Cricetulus griseus: one gene and its partners. The protein of the gene in region 3 binds, or shares a complex with, the protein of the main gene of each other region. Links are inferred from orthologs where the notes say so. Each region holds a gene or a part of one and is shown on either strand. Other genes may lie near its edges.

Region 1 (7,294 bases), on a different chromosome or scaffold from region 3:
CTCTGTCCATTCCCAAAATTGTAAAATCCTTTTTCAGCTCTTTACTCAGTATCAGTAATCTCAGAAACCTAAAGCCTTTAAGAATGACTCCCATCACTACCCACACTGTCAGCATATTACCCAAACTACTTTGCAGTCTTGAAAGCTATATGGGGCAGGCCCTAAGGAGTAGCGCAGCTGACAAAGCACCTGATAGCATGCATAAAGCCCTAGGTTTCATCCCCAGCCCTACATAACCAGAAATAGTGGCACACACAACAGTAAGTTTAGCATTCAGGAAGTCAAGGCAGGATCAGGATGATTGGACGTTAAAGGTTATCCTCAGCTACACAGCAAGTTCAAGGTCAGCCTGGGACAAGAGACAGATTCAAAAATCAAAGAGAAAGAGTTAAGAGGCGGAGGAAAAGAAAAACAGAATGAGCCAACACATGAAATATATGGACATCCAGCTCTTAACCTAAAAATCAACATCCAAAGCAAAGTCTGCTACTGTTTCTGAATTCCTGATTATGAGAAACTACTAGCATCCAGCTAAAAAACATTCAAAGCATTTCCTTTTCACACCTCCTTCTGTGCAGCCCCCACATAATGTAAAAAGATTGGTTTCCTAGAGAAACAAAATCCTAAAGCCAGCAATAGTGCCTTCGTCCTAAAGTATAATTTCTCCCAGTCACTTGAAACTACCCTCTCTGGAGCAGTTTTCAAATTCTTTTATAAACTGTAACCATGAGTGTATACACAAGTGCAAACTGATCTTACCCCTAGTCGAGAACCTCCATCAGTAGGTAGGTATTCCCACCAAGCTAACTTCCTTCTCCTTTACATGTTCTGACTCTGAGTCTTTAATATTTTGTTTGTACATGCTCTTTTCTTCCTGAAGGAGCCCTTCCAAGATTTGGCTCAGAGACTCCAATTATTCCTGGGTAGTCCAAAATCAACACTTCCCTAATGGAAGGTGCAATGACAGTCCTTGGTATATATCATGATCTTAGACTAATAAAGATAATACATTTCCTCCTTTCCTACATTTTTTTTAAAAAAACCTATTTATTTTTACTACTACCACTATTACATTCATGTGCATGTAGGTCAGAGGACAACTCTGTGGAATCAGTGTTCTCCTTCCACCTTTGGTTCTCTGAATTAGTAAGAAATTGCCTCTGTCATTCATAAGAAAAGGTACCCCAAAGACTGAAAGTATTAAATGTTGTTATTTCTACAGCCAATAAAGTACTTCCATGATTTAAAACCAATTTGCAAAGCAGGTCCTCAAGTTTGTAAGCAACTTTGAACCGAAGCAATACACACTCAAGGTATAATTTCTTGGTTTACAGCCCCCTTCTTCCCAAAAAGCAAACTATGCAAAACTAGGTCTCTCAGTCACCTTTTTCGGAAAATGGAATACATGACTTACTCAGGGTTGCAAAATAAGGTTAACAGATCCAAAAACATGTTTTATTCTAAACTTAAAGTTTCATTCACCAATATTTTCATGCTAATTCCCATTTACACTAAGTAGAACTTACAGTGTTTTATGAAAACATATAAAGAACAAAGCATCTAAGGAAAAATAAAAGAGCTAGAAAATCCAAAATGGAAAAAAACTAAAAGTACTCAAGATTAAAAAGTTGGGACAGATGACAGAAGAGAATAACCAAAATCTATAAAAGCAAGAGGAGATAAACGCATGGTTGCTTTAGCATTCCTCAACCTGTATCTTGGAAGTTTGAGGAAGCAGTTAGAAGATAAGAGAGTTGTTACATAATGCAAAAACTAATAAACTTTTGGGCTAATTACTTTAAAAAGAGGGGGAGAACAGGGCCCAAACATTGTGAAATGTGAGAAACTTTCAATCAGACAAATTTAATCATGATCCTAAATGGAGAAATTAAGATGGATAGACAAGCCCAGGTTTCCATTCATTTCTACAGAGCATCTCTGTTCTGCCCACTTTCCATTGTCTGAATGGACCAGAATTCTCAGTCTTACACTACCTATGTTCCTTGTTACATAAAATCCCACAGTATGTTTAACCTTATATATGTGAAACATTACTTTCCTGTACCTCTAATTTAAAGCACTCTTAAGATACCTGAAATACTTTCTTTAAAGTGTGAGAAGTTTCTAAGTTGACAAGTCAAGTAAGAAAAGCCACATGCATGCCCTTTCAATCCTAGGAAAAATATACTATCACATAAAATGTATTACTCTCCCCTCAAAAATGATAAGAGAATTAGGGAAAAAGAAAGTGCTGCAACGTTTATGAAACGGTAATGCATTAAGTGCTCTCCCTGAATTCAGTCTCAAAGAGTTGTGCATCCTAGGAACTTGAACTCTCCTGAGCTACTGAAACACAAAAACATCCTCCTTATGCATCAGAATCTCTGGACTTGGGAAATACCGTATCCGGGGTACCAAGCTCCTGTGTGTACTAAACCAAAATTGGTCCTTCTCTCAAGGACAACTTCAAAAACAATAGCTAAGAAAGAAAGAGAAAAAAATTTTAAAGAGTTGATTCAAGTGATTCCCACGTGGGAATCCATGGGAGTTTCCCTGAAACAAAACCACTCTGTGCTGGATCACAACCAGTGGCCAGGAAAATGTACAGGACAGACCTGTCCATTGGGCTTTCTCGATTTCCCTTTGCTGATCAGTGTGCAGAAAGGTGCAAACGTCCACTCTGGAGACACCGCTCCTCTAAGTCAAGCCCCCTGTTACTTGCATTACTCTTGCAAACTGATGCCTTCTTCCCTCAGCAGGAAGGAAAGGTCTCCATGCCCAACCCTCCCGAGAAACAACAGCCAAACTCCAGCACCAAGCACCCACCGGCTCCCAATTGCTACCCTAGAACGTCCCCCTCCCCCGAGTCCACTCACGCTTCAGAGACGAGCGGTGGCGCTGACAATATGGGCTGGCTCCCTTCCTCCTTCGGGCTGAGGCGGCAGCTGCGAAAGGCTCGGCGCGGAACAGAAGAAGCGGTGCTAGCGTCGCTCCACCAGGCAACCACCCGGGTCTCTTCCGCGCTGCCGGGGTAGAGGCGGCGGCGGCGACCCGCTCACCGTTTTTCCTCTTCCTGGGTCTCTGCACACTGTGGCTTCTGCCCGTCCTGGGCCACTTGTCCCGGGACAGACACGATCGTAAAGCTCGATGATTTTGTTTGGGTAAAGTTTCCTCTGGGCGGAGGCTGTGGCCGGCCCCCCGGGTCCCCCCCGGCCCCGCTGCCCTTGGGGGCTGGGGCGGGGAGGGGCGCCGAGAACTCCCGGAGTCCCGCCGAGGAGCCGAGGGGGGCGGCGGCGAGCCCAAGAAGAAGCCCCCCAGAGGGGGTGAAGGGGAGGGGAGGGGAGGGGAAGGAGAGGACGGCGGCGCCCGGGCCGCTCACCACGCCGCCGCAGCCGCTTCACATCGGGGTCCCCGCCCCCCCGGCCCGGGGGTGGCTCCTGGGCTGGGGGCCCCGGCTCATACACTCCGCGAAGGGATGCTACGGCCCCGGGCGGCCGGACCGGACGGCGGCTAAGCTGGTGGCCTGGCGGGCTCGGATCGGCGCCGCCCCCGCTCGCGGCTCCCGCATGTGTCGCGGCGGCCGGGACCCCCTCCCTACACCTCGGGGGGTCCTTCGCCCCACGCCCCGGGGCGAGGCAGAAAGCCCAGCCCCTCGCGGGCGTCCTCTCCCGGCTGAGCAGCTACCAGTCCCGACCCGCAGCAGCCGCCTCCCTGCCCCCCGGCCGCGGGCTCCGGCTCCGGCTGGGGCTCCGGCTCCGGCGTGTGCAGCCGCCGCTGCCGGCCGGGAAGGTAAGGGGGGGAAGCAGACGGCGGCCGCGGCTCCCGCTGGCCCGGGCTGAGGCGAAGGTCTCGGCGGCGGTCAGTGCACGGGCGCCCGGTCTCTCGGATGCTCGCTCACTCACTCGCTCTCACGCTCTCACCGGCGGCGTCGGCAGCGCCCGGAGCTCAGCTCCCTGTCTCCCTCGCTCTGTGCGGGGCTCTCGCCTCACTCCTGAGAGGGGCGGGAGGAGAGCGGCGCCCGGCGATGACGCAAGTCGCCTAGCAACCGCTCTCCTCCCCCTCCCTTCTCTTCCCTCTCAGCGCCTTCCTTTGCGGGCCTTTACTCCCCCTCTCCGGCCACCCCGCCCTGGGAGACTGCCGCGCGCTCTGATGACGCATCAAGGGAAGAGGAAGTCGAGATCTGCGAGCGGGTGGGTGCGCCTCGGGCCGCGGGACTGCTGCTGCTACCGCCGCCGCCACCGCCGCCGCCACCGCCTCTACGGCCGCGTCAGAACTGGAGAGGAAGGGGAGGAGCCCAGGCGAGCCTAAGCTACCGCCTGATCTTACCCCTGACCCGAGGGCGGCGCGGAGAGAGAGCTCCGTGGCCGTTCCCTCCGGGGCAGGTGCGAACTGCTCCTCTGGGAACGAGGAGGCGGCCCAGGCCCCGGGGCCGGGCTAGGGCGCGCACCACCCGAAGGTGAGGCATTTGGCCCGGAGCAGGTTCTAGAACAGCGAGACGGGTGGAGAAGTTGACCCACAGCTCAGTTGCTGCACCTGCTCCAGGGAGCAAGCGCTCCACCCTTCCCGTGGCGTGGGGGTGAAACCTTGAGCCGCATTATGTGTGGTGGTGGTGCGGTGCGAAGGTTTCTTGAGTGAGTGAGTGAGTGAGTGAGTGAGTGAGTGGATCAATGAATCAATGAATGAATGAATGAATGCGTCTCGCATCGCAGTCCCAGAACTCGGCAGTGATGGTGGAAGTGCAAGCGTTTTGTAATTTGCGGCGTAGAAACCTGAGAGTTGTGATACACCCCACCCCCACCCTCGAGCTGTGAAAGGAAAGGGATGAGGCTTGACGTTGGGAGCAGCAACTTCAGGCTTTTGTGGGAAAGTAGGTGAATTACCGGGGTTGGGGATCAGAGGGCTGAAAGAGAACCAACTCTGGGATATTATAGAGTTTTTTAAAAACGTTTTCAAGGGGCGGATGTAGTCGAGCCTGTCTTTTAAGAGTCATTCTTGCTTGTCTCTTGACTTTTTTGAAGAACTGATCTTGTTCATTACAGCGCTCCTTTAATATCTTCAAAAAATTTTGGCCGACGTCTTAGGACTTACTCAAAAGCGGTCGCGCGTCCGCGCGCTCCTCTTTCTCTCTCCTGCCTCTCTCTTCTCTCTCTTTCTCTCTCTCACCCTCCCCCCACCCTTATCTTACTCTTCCCTCCCTCTCCCTCCCTTCTTCACTCCTTTCTTCCCTCTCTATCCCCCTCCTCTGTTATTAACATATTGGGCTGTTTGTCCTACAGATTCTGTTTAAGTTTTGGGGAAAACTACAGAAATTTAAACTGTGGTGCCGAAGTAAAAGAATTTTCAAGATAAAAAGGACCACAATCCTCAGAAATCTGTCTTGAGCCTGCCCTTCTTAATGGTGGGAGAATGAGATTAAAGCAGCAGCAAAGATAAAGGGAAACAAATTCCACAGTTGTGTGGCTGGACCCCTGCACCCGACCCCTGCTCTGTAAGCAGCAATGATGGATATCAAAGGCGATTTAGGTCTTCAACCTTGCTTGGGGAGATGGGACTAAATACACTATCCACGTATTTGGGGAGCCCAGGGTTTTGCCACTTCTTCCACCACTTCGAACAGTGAAATGAAGTGTCTACATTGATAAATCAAGGTTTCATTTTTGTGCAAAAAAAAATAAATGTGAATAAAGGGGGGAGGAGGATGCCACAAAAGTAAGAACGGACTCACAAGTTGCACCGGGCCCTGTTGTACTTCACCTGAAATCCCAGGAGTCAAATATCTCTCACCCTAGTTAATGCTGGGTTTGATGGTCTGCAAACATGATCCATTAAACCTGCCAAGTTCAACTTATACTCACAGGGAATCAGATCAATAAGCAATAGCCAGACATGGCTACAACATAATTATTTTGTTGAACTCTCTTCCGTACAGCAGAAATTAAAGAAATGCAATGTAGGGTTAGAGAAGTTTGTGAAGCCGAGCACCTCAGAGTTTAATTTCGTGAACTTTGAATGGGAAGAGTACAAATTGCAGAGCTCTGCAACTGAAAATGCTTCCAGAAACCTGTGTGTCATGCCGTGTTCAAAGGCCTGATCTGTTTCATTGCCAATGGTTCCACTCTATAACCTCATCACTGAGGGACAGAATGGCACTCAGAAGAGCCCCAAGCCACCTACTGAGGATAGTAGCTCCACTAAGCTTACTGAATAAGATCCATTCACCTCCCCTCCCAGACTGGTAACAGGAGAAAACAGCTGTTAGACCCTGGCCGCTGGAAAGGAGGGAATTCATACATCTCCAACTTGTTCTATATCCTTTCAGTTCCATAATTTTTTTTTTTTTTTTTTTTTTTTTTTTGGTTTTTCGAGACAGGGTTTCTCTGTGTAGCTTTGTAGCCTGTCCTGGCACTCGCTCTGGAGACCAGACTGGCCTCGAACTCACAGAGATCCGCCTGCCTCTGCCTCAAGTGCTGGGATTAAAGGCGTGCGCCACCAAGGCCCAGCCAGTTCCATAAATTTATTGCCTGATAATCAATAGGAGAAATACATCAGTTAAATCAGATTTCAAAAACAGTAAATTAGAACCAAACACTTATTTTGGCTAACGGTTCTTTCCCTGGCTCATCAGTTTATCAAAGATCTGCCTGCTGTGTTAAAGTGTGACAAATGGATATCTGTGTTTCATAACTTCCCTTGAAAGTGAGCTTATATGAGAAACTAATCAATGTTTTATTATCCCACACCAGTAGTTTCTACTGTCAAAGATTACCTAACCTAGCTTATCTGGCAAAATCTCTAAAATGCCACTATATATCAGTTCATTTTAAGCATTTTTGTGAAATAGACTTTAAACATATAAGGCAGTTGTATGCTATGAGTAATTATCAAAGAAACTACCCTGTAAGCAGTCAACCAAGCCAATCAGTGGAGTTTTGCTAATCCTCCAAAAGCCCTAATGACCTTCCTAAACACAACTCTCCCTCCTGGAAGTTACTGTTATTCTGACCTTTATGGTAATCATTTCCTTGCTTTTCTTTATTGTTTTATCACAGGTGTTCATCCCTAAGCATTACATTGTTTAGTTTTTCCCTTTCTTGTGAATGGTATATAAATGAGATAATATGTAACCTGTTATGCTTACCATATTTGCTCAACTGCTGTCTGTAATCCATATGTTGTTCAGGTTGTTTAGAGCTACAGTTTGTTCCCTTTCATTGCTGTCTATACAAGTGTTTCATTGTAACAATATGTAACAATTTGTTTAGCCATTTTGTTGTTGATCAAAGTCTGGGTTCAT
Region 2 (7,382 bases), on a different chromosome or scaffold from region 3:
ACAGCTTCAGCACTTTAATATAAATGGTGTGAGTCTGAATTTTTAGTTGCAAACATCCAGATCCAATTTTGGCAGTCGTAAGGAAAATATTTCACTAGAAAGATAAAAGGAGTTTCAGGATCACCAGAATCAGGTTTCCTGGGAAACCGGGCAACTGGAACATCTCTGTTTGTCTGTTGACAATTAGGTGCCACCACTTACTCCGAGGGATGCTTTTGATGACACTCTTCTTCAAGTTGCTGACAACGTTCCAGAGATGTTGTTATATAGCATGTAGGTCTCAATTCTGTAAGGGGGATAATTATTTGTAAAATTAGGAACGCATGGAAAGACAGAGAAAGCATCTAGAGTCTTCACTTCCCTAACAAAACACATGGTTTGCTTTTCAACAAGCCCATCAATGATGATCCCCAAATGTAGGAAGAACATTGAGATCTGCAGGTGGCCAAAAAAGATGACAGCTGTTGTGTTTTTGGAAAAATGACTCTGTCTGAATCTAATCTTTCTGTAAAGAAAAGGTTCATATGGCTGAGATGACTGTATATTCGCTTATCCATTTGCCATAAATACAAATTATGTGCCAGGCTGCTAAGATGAACAAGCCCACTGTGGTCAAATGAAGGAGAGAAGTCAACTGACAGCAGGGAAAACCATTGCACACATGGTGGGATGGAAGCCTGTACCTGACAGAGCAGGGCAGGAAAACAGGAGCAACCAACTGCTGACAAATGCTGTTCTTGTACACCAACATACATGCAGCCAAAGCACGCATACCCACAGAATAAAAATAAATAAATCTTAAATAAACGCCACTGTTTTGACAAAAAAAATCCCTCTTGTGGCACGTGACACCTGTAGCATCGATGAAGAGGACAGACAGCATGCTGTGGTAGATAGTCACCACCATTCTTCTTTGGAAGTCCCAACTCTTTTACAGAAATGCCAAAACAAACAGTAATGTTTGATGTCACAAATCCAGGAACTCAGGATTTAATGGCTTATTGAAATTCATATCCAGCCTGCTGGTTTCATACAATGGGGTACTTTTCAAAGGATTAGACATGTGACTGGTTTACCAGTCATCAAAAGCAAGCAACATCACCAAGTTTATTGTAGTATGAGTTCATCCTGTTTTTCGCAGGGCTTGACCTAAGCGTGGCCTTTCCGCTATATCTGTGGGCCTGGTGTACCGCTCTCGGTCTTTAAATTGTTTTTAGGTCTAGGTGTTTGGTTTGGGTTTTAAACAAAGGAGTAGTTGAGGGCTGGGGTGTGGGTGAAGGGGAGAGCACTTACCCAGCATGTGCAAGATCCTGAATTTGCTCCAACCAATAAAACAAAAAACAAATAAAAACCCCTGACAGTTACGCTAATGTGGGCCTCACCCCATCATGCCAAATTCATCATACAGTAGTAATAGATGAAATTATTTTAACACTTTTTTTTTTTTTTTTTTTTTGTAGACCTAGGATTTGGCGGAAGTCAGTAGAACCACATGGGTCTGGTGTAGAAACTTCTCAACATTCTTGATGAGTTAGGTTTCTGCACTTAATGCAGAGGTCTGAGTCCAGATGCTTTTTGTTTTGTTTTCTTTTGTTTTGTTTTTCGAGACAGGGTTTCTCTGTGGCTTTGGGGGCTGTCCTGGAACTTGCTCTGGAGACCATGCTGGCCTCGAGCTCACAGAGATCTACCCGCCTCTGCCTCCTGAGTGCTGGGATTTAAGGTGTGTGTCACCAACGCCCGGCTAAAGATTTATTTTATTTTATGTACACTGGTGTTTTGTCTGCATGTATGTCTGTATGAAGGTGCCAAATTCCTTGGAACTGGAGTTACAGACAGTTGGGTGCTGGGAATTGAATCTAGGTCCTCTGGAAGAGCAGCCAGTACCATAACTGCTAAGCTATCTCTCCAGCCCAGATGCTTATTTTTCTTTATCTTAAAATTATTTTATGCGTATGTGTGCTTCTCTGTGTGTATGTTTGTGCATCAAGTGTGCCTGTTACCCCCAGGAGACCAGAAGAGGGTCGAGTTACAGAGGGTAGTAAGCTGTCATGAGTGCTGAGAATAAAACCTGGGTCTTCTCCAAGAGCAGCCAGTGCTCTCAACAGCTGGACCATCTCTCCTACCCCCCCTCCACACACACACACACAGCTGCTCTTGAAAATCAGTGACCGTGATGCTAATAGGCATCACAAACTTAAGAAGTTCACAACTGAGTTATTGATCCTCCACCTTTATGTTCCCCTTATGACAGTCCCGTTTTTGCAAATAGCACTTCCTGGATCTATGGTAAGCTAGAAGATTGAATTTTCCCTAGTTTTTCCACAACAGCCCAAATTAGACTCTACTGCAAAACCGTCTCAAATCTGTGAGTCCCCATATCCACACCAGTACTTCAGCCCAATCTCTTGGCTTTCCACTAGAGTAGCAGGGTCCAAACACCCACATTCTCCACCCCTTCAATGGCCTCCACTCTAATACCCTTTGATCTCAGACAGAGCTGGGGGTGGGTGCCTGCACATGGCTGGAGAGGCAGCTTAGTGGTTAGGAGGTAGGTGTATTGCTCTTGCCCAGGATTCCCTTGGCGGCTCACAACTGTCTATATTCCCAGTTCCAGGGGATCCAGCTCCTTCTTCTGGCTTCCAATAGCCCCTGTAAGCACAGAGTGCACACCCATACACAGATTTTTTTAAAAAATATTTTTTTGTTGTTAAAAAAACCGCAACTCTTTGTGTTTCTCTAAGGAGCAATCTTGCCTCCCTTGGCTCACGAGCTTTCTCACACAGACTTTTCCTGCCCCTTTTCCATATGACTACTCTCATCAAGTCCCTCAACCCCTGGTTTTAAACCAAGGCCCCTTCCACGTAGTTCACATAACTTTAAATTCATATGAACTTAAATAGCAGCTTGTGTTTACCATCTCCACCATAGAATGGATTTCAGAGCAGGCGCCATCACAGTTTTGTTCTCTTGGGCCCATAACTAGTAGTGACACCAACAACTACTACACATCATTTACATGCGTCATGCATTGTTATACCAAGAGCTTTCCACACAACCAACCCATGGCCCCAGTGTCCTTCCTGACTTCTAGCCAGGGTCAGTCTGCTCGGCCGCTTAACCCAGCTCCTATGTGCTCATCCGCACCGAGCCCCATGGGCTGTTAGGCTAATCGTGCAGGAAAGGATCCGCGTTGACCGCTTGGAATCCTCCTGCAGTTCTCGCCCACGGATGCTATTCCTGCCCCTTCAGAGGCCACGCTCGCCCTTCTCAGAGCCCCGCTAGCTCCGCCTTGCCTCCAGGCTCGGGTCGCGCGCTCGCAGCGGAGCTCCACCCACGCATCACGTGACAGCTGTCGGGGGCGGGGCTCGCGGCGAAGTCGGTCCTCCTGGCGGCGCGCCGCAGTCCTTGGGCAGCCCTGCGGCTTCCAGGGCGTCGCGGCCGCGGCCCCGCAGCGCCGCTCCCTGAGGTAAGAGCGCGGGTTCCTCGACGCGCCCCGGAGGCCTCCCGGGAGCCCGCTGATGCTCCAGGCCACCGGCCTCTCCGTCCTGCCGTGGGCCAAGCCTGTGGCTGGGGTGCGGGGACCCGGCCTGAGGCAGTGCGGGGGGGAGAGGGGGGGCTTGGCCGCCGGAGCTCCAGGAGAGCCGTGCCTTGGTCCCCCCTCCTTCCCCGGGACCACCCGCGGTCGCCTTCAGCCCCAGGGTTTTGCTGGTGTGCGACAGAATTCATTCTCCTTTGCGGTTTGCAGCCTTCACCTGGGATGCCAGAGCCAGTGTGCAGTCGGACACCCAGTGGGTTTGGTTTTAGCAAATCGCGGAGACTTGGTTTCTAAAATCTTTGAAAGAGGGATAACCGCTGCCCGGCCTCCCTCCTGCATCGAAGAACTGATGGCAAAGCCATTTGATGAGCCAGAACTCTGGAGTTGGTTTTAGTTCCACCACCCACTAGCCAGGCAACCTTGAGCCACGTCGATGGTGCTTCGTTAAAAGTAGAGACAGTACGTCAGCCAGAGGTTGCTATGAGGATTAAGCTGAAGAGATGAGCACGGTGCGGGCACAGAGGGCTCTTTAGTTCTCTCGGCATGAGCATTATTAAAATAGCAAGCTAGAGAGGACTCTCCAAGAGAGACGTCTTTCTTGCAGTAAGCACACCATCCACTGTGTTTGTGATCCTGAAAACAGTACGGGTTTTGGCTGTAGAACCCTCTCCCCTTTCCCAGGCCCCCTTTGCCTTCTGTTTCACATTGGCATGTGAACCTGTTGTTCCTACCGAATGAGTCAGGCAGGATGGGAACGCTAATTTACTTGAGCAGATGGGTATCAGATTCCCTCTGAGGGGAAAGAAAACTGCCAGGCATGTGCTCCCATCAAAAAAAGCACAGTAGAGTGATTGACAGTCTACTGGAAGATGCCTAGGAACCCATGTAATCCAGCTGTTTCCTGCACATAAAGAAACGAGCCAGAAGGAGGCCAGGACTTTGGTTTTGCTCACACTTCAACACTGTTGGCTCTGGGTAGTAGAAAGAATGCTTGTGCTTTCCCATGCTCGTTTATTCCTGCTGCGTATTTGTACGTCGACAAGGAGCTGGATGAGATAAAGCTATGAACCAGACAATGGTGTCTGACCCCATGAAGCTGTCTCCATAGCTGACTATGTTAGTTTGAGATTATATAAAAGTCTGTTTTGTGTGTGTGTGTGTGTGTGTGTGTCTGCTGGGTCTCAGTATGCTTTATGATAACAATAAGTTCCAGCTCCCAGGGAGCTTGCCTCACAGCAGCTGGCCCCAGGGTACCCACATGCAAGAGAGGCTTGAATTGTTTCATGAACCTTGTCACGTCTCCAGGCCTGGTGGAAGCTTGATGAGATTTAGAAACTGGAGAAAATGGTACGTTGTTGAAGCTTTTAGGGAAGGATTTCCACAGGCCTAGAATGCCTGCATTTCTTTGTTCCTCTGGTTTCTGGCCTCTTATTGTTTTTAGCTATCTAAAGAGAGCAGCCTTCAGCATAGTTCCTTCATTTGGTTTCCATGGTTATCAGGGGAATTACATTTTCATGATAGCACCAGTAGCTATTGAGCTGTGTGGCCAACCACCAGTCGCTCACCACCAAGTCCTGCTTTCTGGTTTTGTTTTTCAGTTGTAGTGCAGACATCATCTCCGTTTTCTTTTTTTCCTTCCTTTCATCCTTCCCTTCAATGGTGACAGTGTGAAGAGGGATGGCAATAAGAATAGATAAAATAGAGACAGACCTTGGCCTGGGAGATGGTAGAATCCCTTTTTGGCCCAACCCATTGATGATGATGATGCAATGCTGTGTGTGGCACAGAACTGAGGGCATTGGCAGGAGTCAGGGGCAGGGCAGTGGCCCTCTGGAAAGGTGTAAATGGTGAACCAACTTGAGCTGTCATAGGCAGAGTAACAGTGCCCTGAGCAACAAAGAACACCTCACCCGCTTTTCAAAGGAGATAAGAAAGAAACATGTTCCTTTAATGGGCCCCAGTCACAGAGGAACACTAGATAGCATTTTGTTGCTTGAGTTTGCCTTCATGGATGAGCCTTTTCCTCTTGAGTCACTTACCATGTGCTTTGTGTGAACAAGCTGCTGCTTTCCCTGTTAGCGGGATTTGTTTCCCTACTCACCTGACAATGGGATTGTCAACATAAAGGGGCTAGAGAAACACTTGTTTGGGATCCATCTATTTCAGTTTAGATGTTTAACCTGTTTGTCTTATTTCTCAAGTTGGACACTAATGCAGTCACACATTATTTTTCCAAGTACCCTCCCAAGTCTTCCAAAACCCTCATTAGTAAGGATTCTAACCTCTAGAGAGGCTTCTGTAGCCCAAAGAGGACCTCTCAGAGGAGTGAGAGTGGTAAGTGGTATACCCAGATTGTTATCTGACAGCTATGAGTTGTCACTATGGAGGAGTTGCCCTGCACAGTTCAAGGATGTGTGGTAACTGCTGCTCAGTGCCCTTTAGGGCACTATCTATGTCAGTAAGATCCCCTGTTTGGATCTGAGTTTGCAGCTTTTTTTAGTTCATGCTCACGTGCTTAGCTTTGTGTTCCCCAAAGCTCCACTTGTTGGCCTTTGCCTTGAGTCTGCTGCTTGGCTGGCTTCTTCTAGCTTTCGGGGTCACCACAGATCACTGAGATTCTCCTCTTTTCAAGCCTTTTATCTGAATGAAAGGGCTGTATCTTCCTTCCTTCCTTCCTTCCTTCCTTCCTTCCTTCCTTCCTTCCTTCCTTCCTTCCTTCCTTTCTTCCTTTCTCTGAGCTTAACCCAAGTCCTTTTGGTAAACCGGTTCCATCTTGTCACCAGGGTCTTACCTAAGCAAGTTCTTACCTAAGATTCTCAGGGATGGTACATTTCAAGAAGATGCCTCCCTAGGACTTTGGGTACCTCTTCAGCCTTGTTTCTCCAAGTATAAGAGGGATGGGTCCTTGGTGATTCTTGACTGCTTCCACCTGCAGTCCTAAGAGGTTAGGCAACTACAAACATCCCCTATTAAGCTGGGGGTGGTGCATGCTTGCAGTCCCAACACTCTGTAGGTGTAGGCAGGAGGATCAAGAGTTTAGGTCCACCTAGGCTATATGAGACCTTATTTAAAGAAAAAGGAAAGGAAAATAGGGTTTACTGAAAGTAGAAATGTATTTGGCATATATACTCTGTTAGGGATTTGGGAAGCAAGGTTTCAAATTAAAAACAGGAATGTGGTTGGTAGGGTGACACTGTAGCTTTTGAATGGCGGAGGCAGGAGGATTGCTTGGACCTAGAAGTTAGAGTCAGTGGCAAGATCTCAACTTAAAAACAAACAAAAGGCTGGTTACAGTTGTTTGGTTTTTTTATGACAGTTTTTGTGTTCTTTCGGTTTTTCTAAGAATTGGTATATTTATTTTGTTATCTTTGTTTTGAATGTTTTTTACTCTGAAAGATAAAATATACAGATGGGGTGCAAATGTACAGTTTAGCAAATAATTAGGAGGGAAATAACAGTGTAAACACTGCAACCTCAAGAAATAGAACATGGTGAGTGCCTTTTTCAGAATTTAACCTCCTCCCTGAGAAGCTGTCATCTTGACCTGTAAATGACCATCATCTCTTTGTTTCATCAATTGTGTGCACGTCCCTACACAGTACCATTGAGTTTAGCTGCTTTAACTTCATACGTGTGAGATCACCCTGTCTGCATCTTTTGTTTTGCTTCTTTTGCTCTGTGTATCACTTGGCATGCATCCAGGTGGTAGCCTCATGTCTGTCAGTAACAGTAATGTGCTGGTGTGAATAGGTCACAGTAAGTTCAATTAGCATTGGATGGACAGTGGGTTGCCAAGAACATTCTCAGACATATTCTCTCTCTTTTAAATTGCATTTACTCATTTGTT
Region 3 (7,567 bases):
TGCCTCTGCTAAGTGCTGGAATTAAAGGTGTGAGCCATCATGCCTAGCAAATCTTAAAAACAAAAAAACCCAACACTTTAATAGCTTGTAGTTTTATTCATACAATGCAGAAAGGAAACTACCTTTTTTACTCAGAAGCTTGTAACAGACTGGCTCAAGTAAACCTAATACTTACAGGTTACATACCACCATCCTAAGTTACACATCCCACTTTTTCACACCAAGATTTCATAGTTACCTTCCAGCATGGTCTTGATGGTCACAGATTGTTTGGCAATTTCTACATCAACTTCAAATATCTCTCCATCAGAACTCTGCAACTTTATCGAAGGCATCTAAAAAAGATGCAGTGAATTAAGAAATGTAAGCTGTTAATTCCACAAGATATTTCATCAACTAGTCTGTCAGGAAGCTGTAACTAGAGCTTCTGTACAGTTCCAAGTTCTTCACAAATCAGCCTATAATTGTTTTTATTTTAAAAAAATTCCACAACTTTAATCCCAGCACTCGGGAGGCAGAGGCAGGCGGATCTCTGTGAGTTCATGCCCAGCCTGGTCTCCAGATCGAGTGCCAGGATAGGCTCCAAAGCTACACAGAGAAACCCTGTCGAGAGAGAGAGAGAGAGAGAGAGAGAGAGAAATTCCCAAGTACAGCTCCTTTAAACATTGGCTTTAAAGGTCCACTTAAAGGCAGTGCTGAATTTACAACTGGTATTAAGAGTTATCTGTATGTGACATTTACTTTAGAATATAAAGTGTGGGTGTGCATATAGCTCAGCAACATGCAGAGGTCAGAGAACAAATTGCAGGAGGCAGTTCTCTCTTTCCACTATGTGGGTTCCAGGGATTAAGCTTAGTTATCAGGCCTGGCAGCCATTTGTTAACTTCTCAAAAATTTTAAGATACATGCTTTCTATGCTCCCACTGAGAAATTACACAATATGAAAAATTAACTGCCACAATTAACTACCTACAAAGCTGAGTGAAGTCAGTCCAAAGTAAACAAAGCTATCAAATGAAAGTAAATTTCTTACAGTGAAATCTACCAGTGAAAAACAAATGACTCCAAAGAGTAGACTAGGATACACACACTTATAAACAAATGCAAGCCTACACACAAGAAAATAAAAGACATTATAAGCAAGTGTCAATGTGATCCCTAAATCCCACAAGGAGCTTAAACTTAGAAGAGACCATTTTAATTTTTCAATACCCACTGTTCAGGTGTCCAAGTTTGAGATCCTCTGGCTAAGTCCCTACAGTAAAAAAATCTGCTTCAAAAATTCATTTTGGCTGGGTGTTGGTGGCATAGGCCTTTAATCCCAGCACTTGTGAGGCAGAGGCAGGCAGACCTCTGGGAGTTCGAGGTCAGCCTGGTCTACAAAGCGAGTGCCAAGATGGGCTCCAAAGCTACACAGAAAAACCCTGTCTCAAAAACCAAATTCATTTTGAAGCTTGGCACATGCCTTTAGTCCCAGCACTCGGGAGGTAGAGGCAGGTGGATCTCTGTGAGTTCGAGAGCAGCCTGGTCTACAAGAGCTAGTTCCAGGACAGCCTCCAAAGCCACAGAGAAATCCTGTCTTGAAGAAAATAAATAAATAAATAAATAAATACATAAAATGATTTCACTTTAAGCCAGGTGTGGTGGCACACACCTGTAATTCCTAACTCAGGAGGCAGAGGCAGGCAGATCTTTGGGTCTGAAGCCAGCCTGGTCTAAATAGTGAGTTCCAGGTCAGTCAGAGCTACATAGAAAGACCTTGTCTCAAAAACAGCAAAACAAGAACAAAATGCATTTAAGTCATGGTGGCACATGCCTATAAAAGTACTGGAGAGGCAGGAATTCAGACCCAGGGTACACAGCCAAGTTCAAGTCCAGCCTGAGCTACCTGTGAACCTGTCTCAAAAAACAAAATATACATATGTATTTAAATTTATTAAAAATAAATGGCTGGGCAGCAGCAGTGCTTGCCTTTAAACCAGCACTGGGGAGGCAGAGACAGGCATAGATCTCTGTGAGTTTGAGGCCAGCCTGGCCTACAGAATGAGTTCCAGCACTACACAGAGAAACCAGTCCTGTAATGCCCAATATTTGGAAGACTAAGGCCAGGAGGATAATAAATTCAAGGACTGCCCAGGTTATATAATGAGTTCAAGCCAGCCTGGGAGAACTCAGTAAGGGCCTGCTTCAAAACAAAATACCAAAGAGGCTGTGGATATAGCTCAGTAGTATAATTACCTAACACTGTCCTCTCCTCCTGTCCAAAAGGTGAGCCAGTAAATAAGTACATGCCATAATCCCAGCATTTAGGCAACCAGAAGGATCAGGAGTCCAAAGCCATCTTGACACATAGGAAGGAAGTATGAGGCTAGCCTGGGTTTCATGAGACCCTGTCTCAAAAACGGAACTCAACAGCCCAAATCTCCAAAAATCTCATGGACTCAGATAAAATATGAGCCATTAGGAAAAATATAATTCATATATAAAAAAGGTAGGAAACCGAAAACTCCTAACATGACTTGAATTTGAGGGAAAGTAAAAAAAAAAATCTAAAACTAAAAGCTCAAAGCAAGCCTGAAATTTCTTATCACCTTCAGATTTCTCCCACATTGCTCCAAAGAGGATTAATTCAAGACCTCTTTAAAATTCATATGCAACTTTTTTTTAGGGGTTGTTTGTTTTTTGAGAAGGGGTTCTTCTGTGTAGCCCTGGCAGTCCTGGAACTTGCTCTGTAGACAGAGCTAGTCTTAAACTCAGAGATCTACCTGCCTCTGCCTCCAGTGCAGAGACTAAAGGTGTGTACCAAGCTTGACTCACAAGCAACTGTTAAAGTCTGTGATTTTGAGGTAGACAATCCTCCAATGTTACTATCTACTAACTTAAGGTACCTCTGAAGCTTTCTGATCTAGGTTGTATTAAGAAACAATGTGAAGCCAGCACTCGGGAGGCAGAGGCAGGCGGATCTCTGTGAGTTCAAGGCCAGCCTGGTCTCCAGAGCGAGTGCCAGGATAGGCTCCAAAGCTACACAGAGAAACCCTGGGGGGAGGGGGGCGACAATGTGAATTTTCACAAAAGCCTGGTGTTTGGCATTTAAAATAATTACTTCGCCCATTTTACCCTCACACACTTAAGACTCGACATCTCTTAAAATTCTCTTAAATTCAGCTTTCCTCCGACACTTGTCCCCATGCCTCAAGCAAACAAGCTGGGGCAGGGGTGAGCTAAATCATTTTACAATCATCCACTAAAATACCCAGCTCTCCCTCACCCATGGTTTGAGAGAATCAGATTTCACTTTTCCACTCACAAACATGTCTGCTTCTCCATGTTTCTCAGTGCTTGCCAATAATGCAGAACAGAGAAGCCCAGAGCAGCAGACCCTCCCTATAATAAGGCAACAACACAGTTAACAGTGAAGGGAGGCTAGTTTTTCATAGCAAAACATTACCTTCTTTCTATAGTCCCCAGTACTGTAACGAACACTCCAGAACAAGTCTAACTACGTAGTTGATAGAATTACTTTAAAAGCAACATCATTCCATATTTCCTTGAAATAATCCACAATAAGTAAAGATGTGCTTAGTCATAGTAGAATTCAGGTATTAGGTTGCTTGTGCGGGAGCCAGGATCTTATTAAATGACAGGGAGACAATCGGTTAATCTGTAATTCAATGCACTCTGTAATCCTAGACTTAACTTTCGGTGTTGTGTTGGAATTAAGTGCAAAATTTTCAAGTAATAATGCATGAGATTTCGACCTGACATGCTTTCAAAAAAATAATAATAATAAAAAAAACCTTCAGTTTTCTAACTCCTGGACTTGGAAATTAAACAACCTAAAGAATTCTAGTACACCAGACTTAAAAAACAATCTGTTTTTAAGTGACTCGAAATTCTGACACTTGCTATTAGACTGCAGGATGGAAGGGGCTGCATTGTTCTATGCCACAGACACATTCTACTGTGACATTCGGAAGAAAAACTGCAAGTCCCCAAACCTGCGGACTCCATTAAAAAAAAAGTGAACCAAAGGGCAGATGTCACACTATCCCTTTAAAGAACCCAGGCATCTCAAGTTTAGGAGTCGGAAGCTCCTAAAAGACACACCTCAGAGGACGGGGTCTGCTATTACAGTAGCTAAGTTCAGAGACTGCAGGACACGACAAAACAACGCAAAGAAATATCGAGTCTGTACCTGCAGTTTCGGTGGTAGAAGAAGCGAGACCAAAAGGGAGCTAGTGGCGCCAGATACAGGCGAGGGAGCCAAAAATCGAGCAGACTAACAACGACCGCCACCACCTGGGCGGCCAACCCCCCCTCCCCCCAAAACGCAGAGCGCCGCCGCCACCTGTCCTGGAGCGCGGGGCAGCAAACCTATCGCCCAGGCAGGCCCGGGCCGAAGCCTGGGCCTTGCAGCCGCGTTCGAGCCTGACTGACGCCGCCCTCAGAGCAGGCTCGTCACAGGGCTCCGCTCACACTCCTCGGGCGAGCGCCGTGAGGACACGCGGCCCGCGGAGGCCTGACTCGGCCGCCTCGCGCCTTCCGCGGTCCAGAGTCGGCAACGGGCCCCACAGTGCCTCAGGCTACGCCAGGCCGAGTCGCCGCCGCCGCCGCCTCGTGCAGGCCATAGCCACCCCGGGGCTCCACCACCGCCCGCCCTCCAGGGACCACGTCCTGGCCCAGCTCGCGGGCGGCTACTCACGGTGCTCGGTCGAGGCTGACGAGCAGCACTCAGACACGACGAGAAATACCGAGGACAAGGCCACTACAGCAACGCCTCGCGGCGGCCGGCTTTTATAGGAGCGGGAAGCGGGCGCCGAGGCCCCCGAGCTCGTGACGTCACACAGCCGGCCGGGCTGGCCGTTGAGATCGCCTGACGGTAGGCGGAGGGCGGCGCGCCAGACCCTGAGCGCTGCAGAGGCCTGCGGGAGAGATGCTGAGGGACATCGGGTGGATGGGCGGCTAGGCAGAGGAGGGGCTTCCGCCTTTCTCCTCTGCCCTCGAGAGCGCCATGCTCTCCTTCAGTGCGGACGCCGGCAGCGGCTGAGGTACCAACGCGACCCTAAGGGTCTTTCAGGCAGGGGCTGTCTTGAACTGCATGAAAGACGCCAGCCCTGAAAAGCCTGGAAACAACAAACCGCAAAAGCGGCTTATGTGTGTTTCACTTAACAGATTCACCTCGTTACTCTCCTAATAACCCAAAGAGGTGAGGTTGTGTTTGCCCACCAGGAATTCGGGATTTGAACCTTACTCCACTGATGCTAATTTAAAAAAAAAAAAAAAAAATCTCACGGCATGTTGAGACCAGGTGTCACTTCAGGCCTAAGAACTTGGGATACTCCTGACTTAGCACACCCTGCCTGTTTGATTGTAAGAGTTTTTTGTTGTTGTTTTGTCTTGTCTTGATGAGACAGTGTCTCGTGTAGTACAGGGTGGCCACAAATTTACTATGTAAACCAAATTGCTCTAAAACCCCCTGCTCTGGGATTGCAGGCCTGAAGTGTTTTGTTTTGAGACCGGTCTTGCTATGTAGACCAGGCTGCCTACCCCCGAGTGACAGCACTGGGATTACAGTCATGCACTACCTTGTTGGATATTTTTAAACATTTATTTCCTACCCTCGACCTTTGAAGAGCCTTCCAGACCCCAAATAGCCATTGTGTTAACGAAGCTCCAAGCCTAGAAAATGAAAACATCGTAATATGTATAATGTGAGAATACATTCTTTGTGTAACCATGCACTCAACCCTGTAGGTGAGGCCAGTGCTGGGATCTAGTAGTGAACCAGGGCAGTCAAGCCCAGCCTGAACAGACTGTGCTGTGTGAGCAGCTCACAGAAGGCTGTGATAAGGTCGCTAGGATGAAACAGCTTTGCAGTAAAGAGGGAGAGGCCTAAAAGCACCCATCTGGCCTCACCCAAGTCAGGAACTGTGCAATTGGTGGCTCTGCCCTGCCCTGCTGTGTCTAGGGAGCATCACTGTCCCCACCAAGGCGCCTGGCTCACCTAGCCAGCAAGCACGTGATAGTATTCCAGACACCACAAAGACAAAAGGCACTTCCACACAGGGCCTCCTAAAGAAACCAGAGACTACAGTTTCTCTAGGACAAGACTGGGCAGAGAGGTCAAGCAATGGCTTGGGTTACCAGGTCTTTGTCTGCGGGCTATGGTATCCAGTGTCTGCCAGGTGCCACTGCTGATGACAGAAGATGAAAGGCCCACATTTCTCAGGCTTTCTCTCTGCAGCACTGCCTGCCCTTCACAGCTCCTGCTTTGGGCCTCCTAGGTAAGGGCCACTGGAGAGCCTTTCTTCCACATGGAGGGCATCTTAAGCAGTACTGGGCAGTGCTGGGTCATATAGCTAGCTTAAGAACCCATCACAGAGCTTGGCACAAAATAGGTATATGTCTTTTCTGGATACTAGAATTTCTCTGATACTAGAATTACCAAGAGATGCTTGGAGGAGAAAATGGAGATTTTGGTGCTGGGGCAAAGCTTACCATGCCCAGGCCCCTGGGTTCAGTCCTTGCCACAACTAGGCTATTTAAGATTCAAATTATTTAACAAAAGATGTACAAGAAATTGTTTGCCTAAAATAAATGGAACTTGCTGGGCAGTGGTGGCACACGCCTTTAATCCCAGGCAGAGGCAGGCAGATCTCTGTGAGTTCGAGGCTAGCCTGGTCTACAAAGTGAGTTGCAGGACAGGCTCCAAAGCTACACAGAGAAACTCTGTCTCAAAAAAACAAAACAGGGCTGGAGAGATGGCTCAGGGGTTAAGAGCACTGGCTGTTCTTCCAGAGGTCCTGAGTTCAATTCCCAGCAACCATAGGGGTGGCTCACAGCCATCTGTAATGAGATCTGGTGCTCTCTTCTGGGCTGCAGGGATACATGCAGGCAGAACACTATACATAGTAAATAAAAATAAATCTTTAAAAAACAAAACAAAAAAGAAATGGAACTAAGCAGCTGGGGCAAAAGTTGGGTGATTTTTATATTTTTTTTCTACTGTTTGGATATGGATTCACAGGAATTATCACATATTTTCCCCCTGCAATGAATTAGACACAGCAGTACAGCTCTTCCACTATAGTCTATTGAAAGTCTATTCCCTGGGTCTAGGGACATGGTTCAGTGGGTAATGTGCTTGCCTGGCATGCACAAAACCCTGGGTTTGATTACCAACACCTCCATAAACTGCACGATGGCTCATTTCTGTAATCCCAGCACTCAGGAGGTGGAGGCAGGAAAACCATAAGTTCAAGTTCACCCTCTGCACTTAGTTCAAGGGTAGCCTGGCCTACATAATTTTGGGTCAGCCATGGTTATATAGCAAGAACCTGAGTTTAAAAAATGTTCTTAAGTGAATAAGAAAATAATTAATTGGCCCACTGTAAGGAAAGGCAGCTGGGTCCATTTTCATTGTAATTAATCTAACCTGGGAGCAGGTTTAACTATTTTTAAACTATTTTAAACTAACTTTAAACTATTTCAGGTGCTTCATAAGCTTAGAGTAAGTAGATAAACTTCTCTAATAGGGCATGGGTGAGAATGCATTGTCAGTAAGAAG

What was found. Proteins that work in one complex are often made in the same cells at the same time.
Region 1: the proteins of Skp1 (region 3) and Fbxw7 are in contact, whole or in part, in a crystal structure (PDB 2OVP), measured with the Homo sapiens proteins. The link is inferred for Cricetulus griseus from reciprocal best matches to the Homo sapiens genes SKP1 and FBXW7. Residues at the interface, in NP_733779.1 of Homo sapiens: Gln97, Leu100, Phe101, Ile104, Leu105, Asn108, Leu116, Asp117, Cys120, Lys121, Val123, Ala124, Ile127, Lys128, Gly129, Lys130, Thr131, Pro132, Ile135, Arg136, Phe139, Asn140, Ile141, Lys142, Asn143, Asp144, Phe145, Thr146, Glu149, Gln152; in NP_001336727.1 of Homo sapiens: Pro274, Phe276, Gln277, Arg278, Asp279, Phe280, Ile281, Leu283, Leu284, Pro285, Leu288, Tyr291, Val292, Leu293, Phe295, Leu296, Pro298, Lys299, Asp300, Leu302, Gln303, Ala304, Ala305, Gln306, Thr307, Cys308, Arg309, Tyr310, Trp311, Arg312.
Region 2: Skp1 (region 3) and Fbxo10 share a complex: the UniProt entries of both Homo sapiens proteins name them as parts of the SCF(FBXO10) complex. The link is inferred for Cricetulus griseus from reciprocal best matches to the Homo sapiens genes SKP1 and FBXO10.

What each region holds. Positions count from the first base shown.
Region 1 is NW_023276806.1:69,599,675-69,606,968, forward strand, and holds the start of Fbxw7 (F-box/WD repeat-containing protein 7), read right to left. Parts: upstream 4,015-7,294; 5' UTR 2,877-4,014; intron 1-2,876. UniProt on the Homo sapiens protein: Substrate recognition component of a SCF (SKP1-CUL1-F-box protein) E3 ubiquitin-protein ligase complex which mediates the ubiquitination and subsequent proteasomal degradation of target proteins.
Region 2 is NC_048595.1:98,364,724-98,372,105, forward strand, and holds the start of Fbxo10 (F-box only protein 10), read left to right. Parts: upstream 1-3,368; 5' UTR 3,369-3,466; intron 3,467-7,382. UniProt on the Homo sapiens protein: Substrate-recognition component of the SCF (SKP1-CUL1-F-box protein)-type E3 ubiquitin ligase complex. Mediates the ubiquitination and degradation of BCL2, an antiapoptotic protein, thereby playing a role in apoptosis by controlling the stability of BCL2.
Region 3 is NC_048600.1:66,398,022-66,405,588, reverse strand, and holds the start of Skp1 (S-phase kinase-associated protein 1), read right to left. Parts: upstream 4,857-7,567; 5' UTR 4,703-4,856; intron 3,601-4,702; exon of another isoform or gene 3,449-3,600; intron 336-3,448; coding exon 239-335; intron 1-238. UniProt on the Homo sapiens protein: Essential component of the SCF (SKP1-CUL1-F-box protein) ubiquitin ligase complex, which mediates the ubiquitination of proteins involved in cell cycle progression, signal transduction and transcription.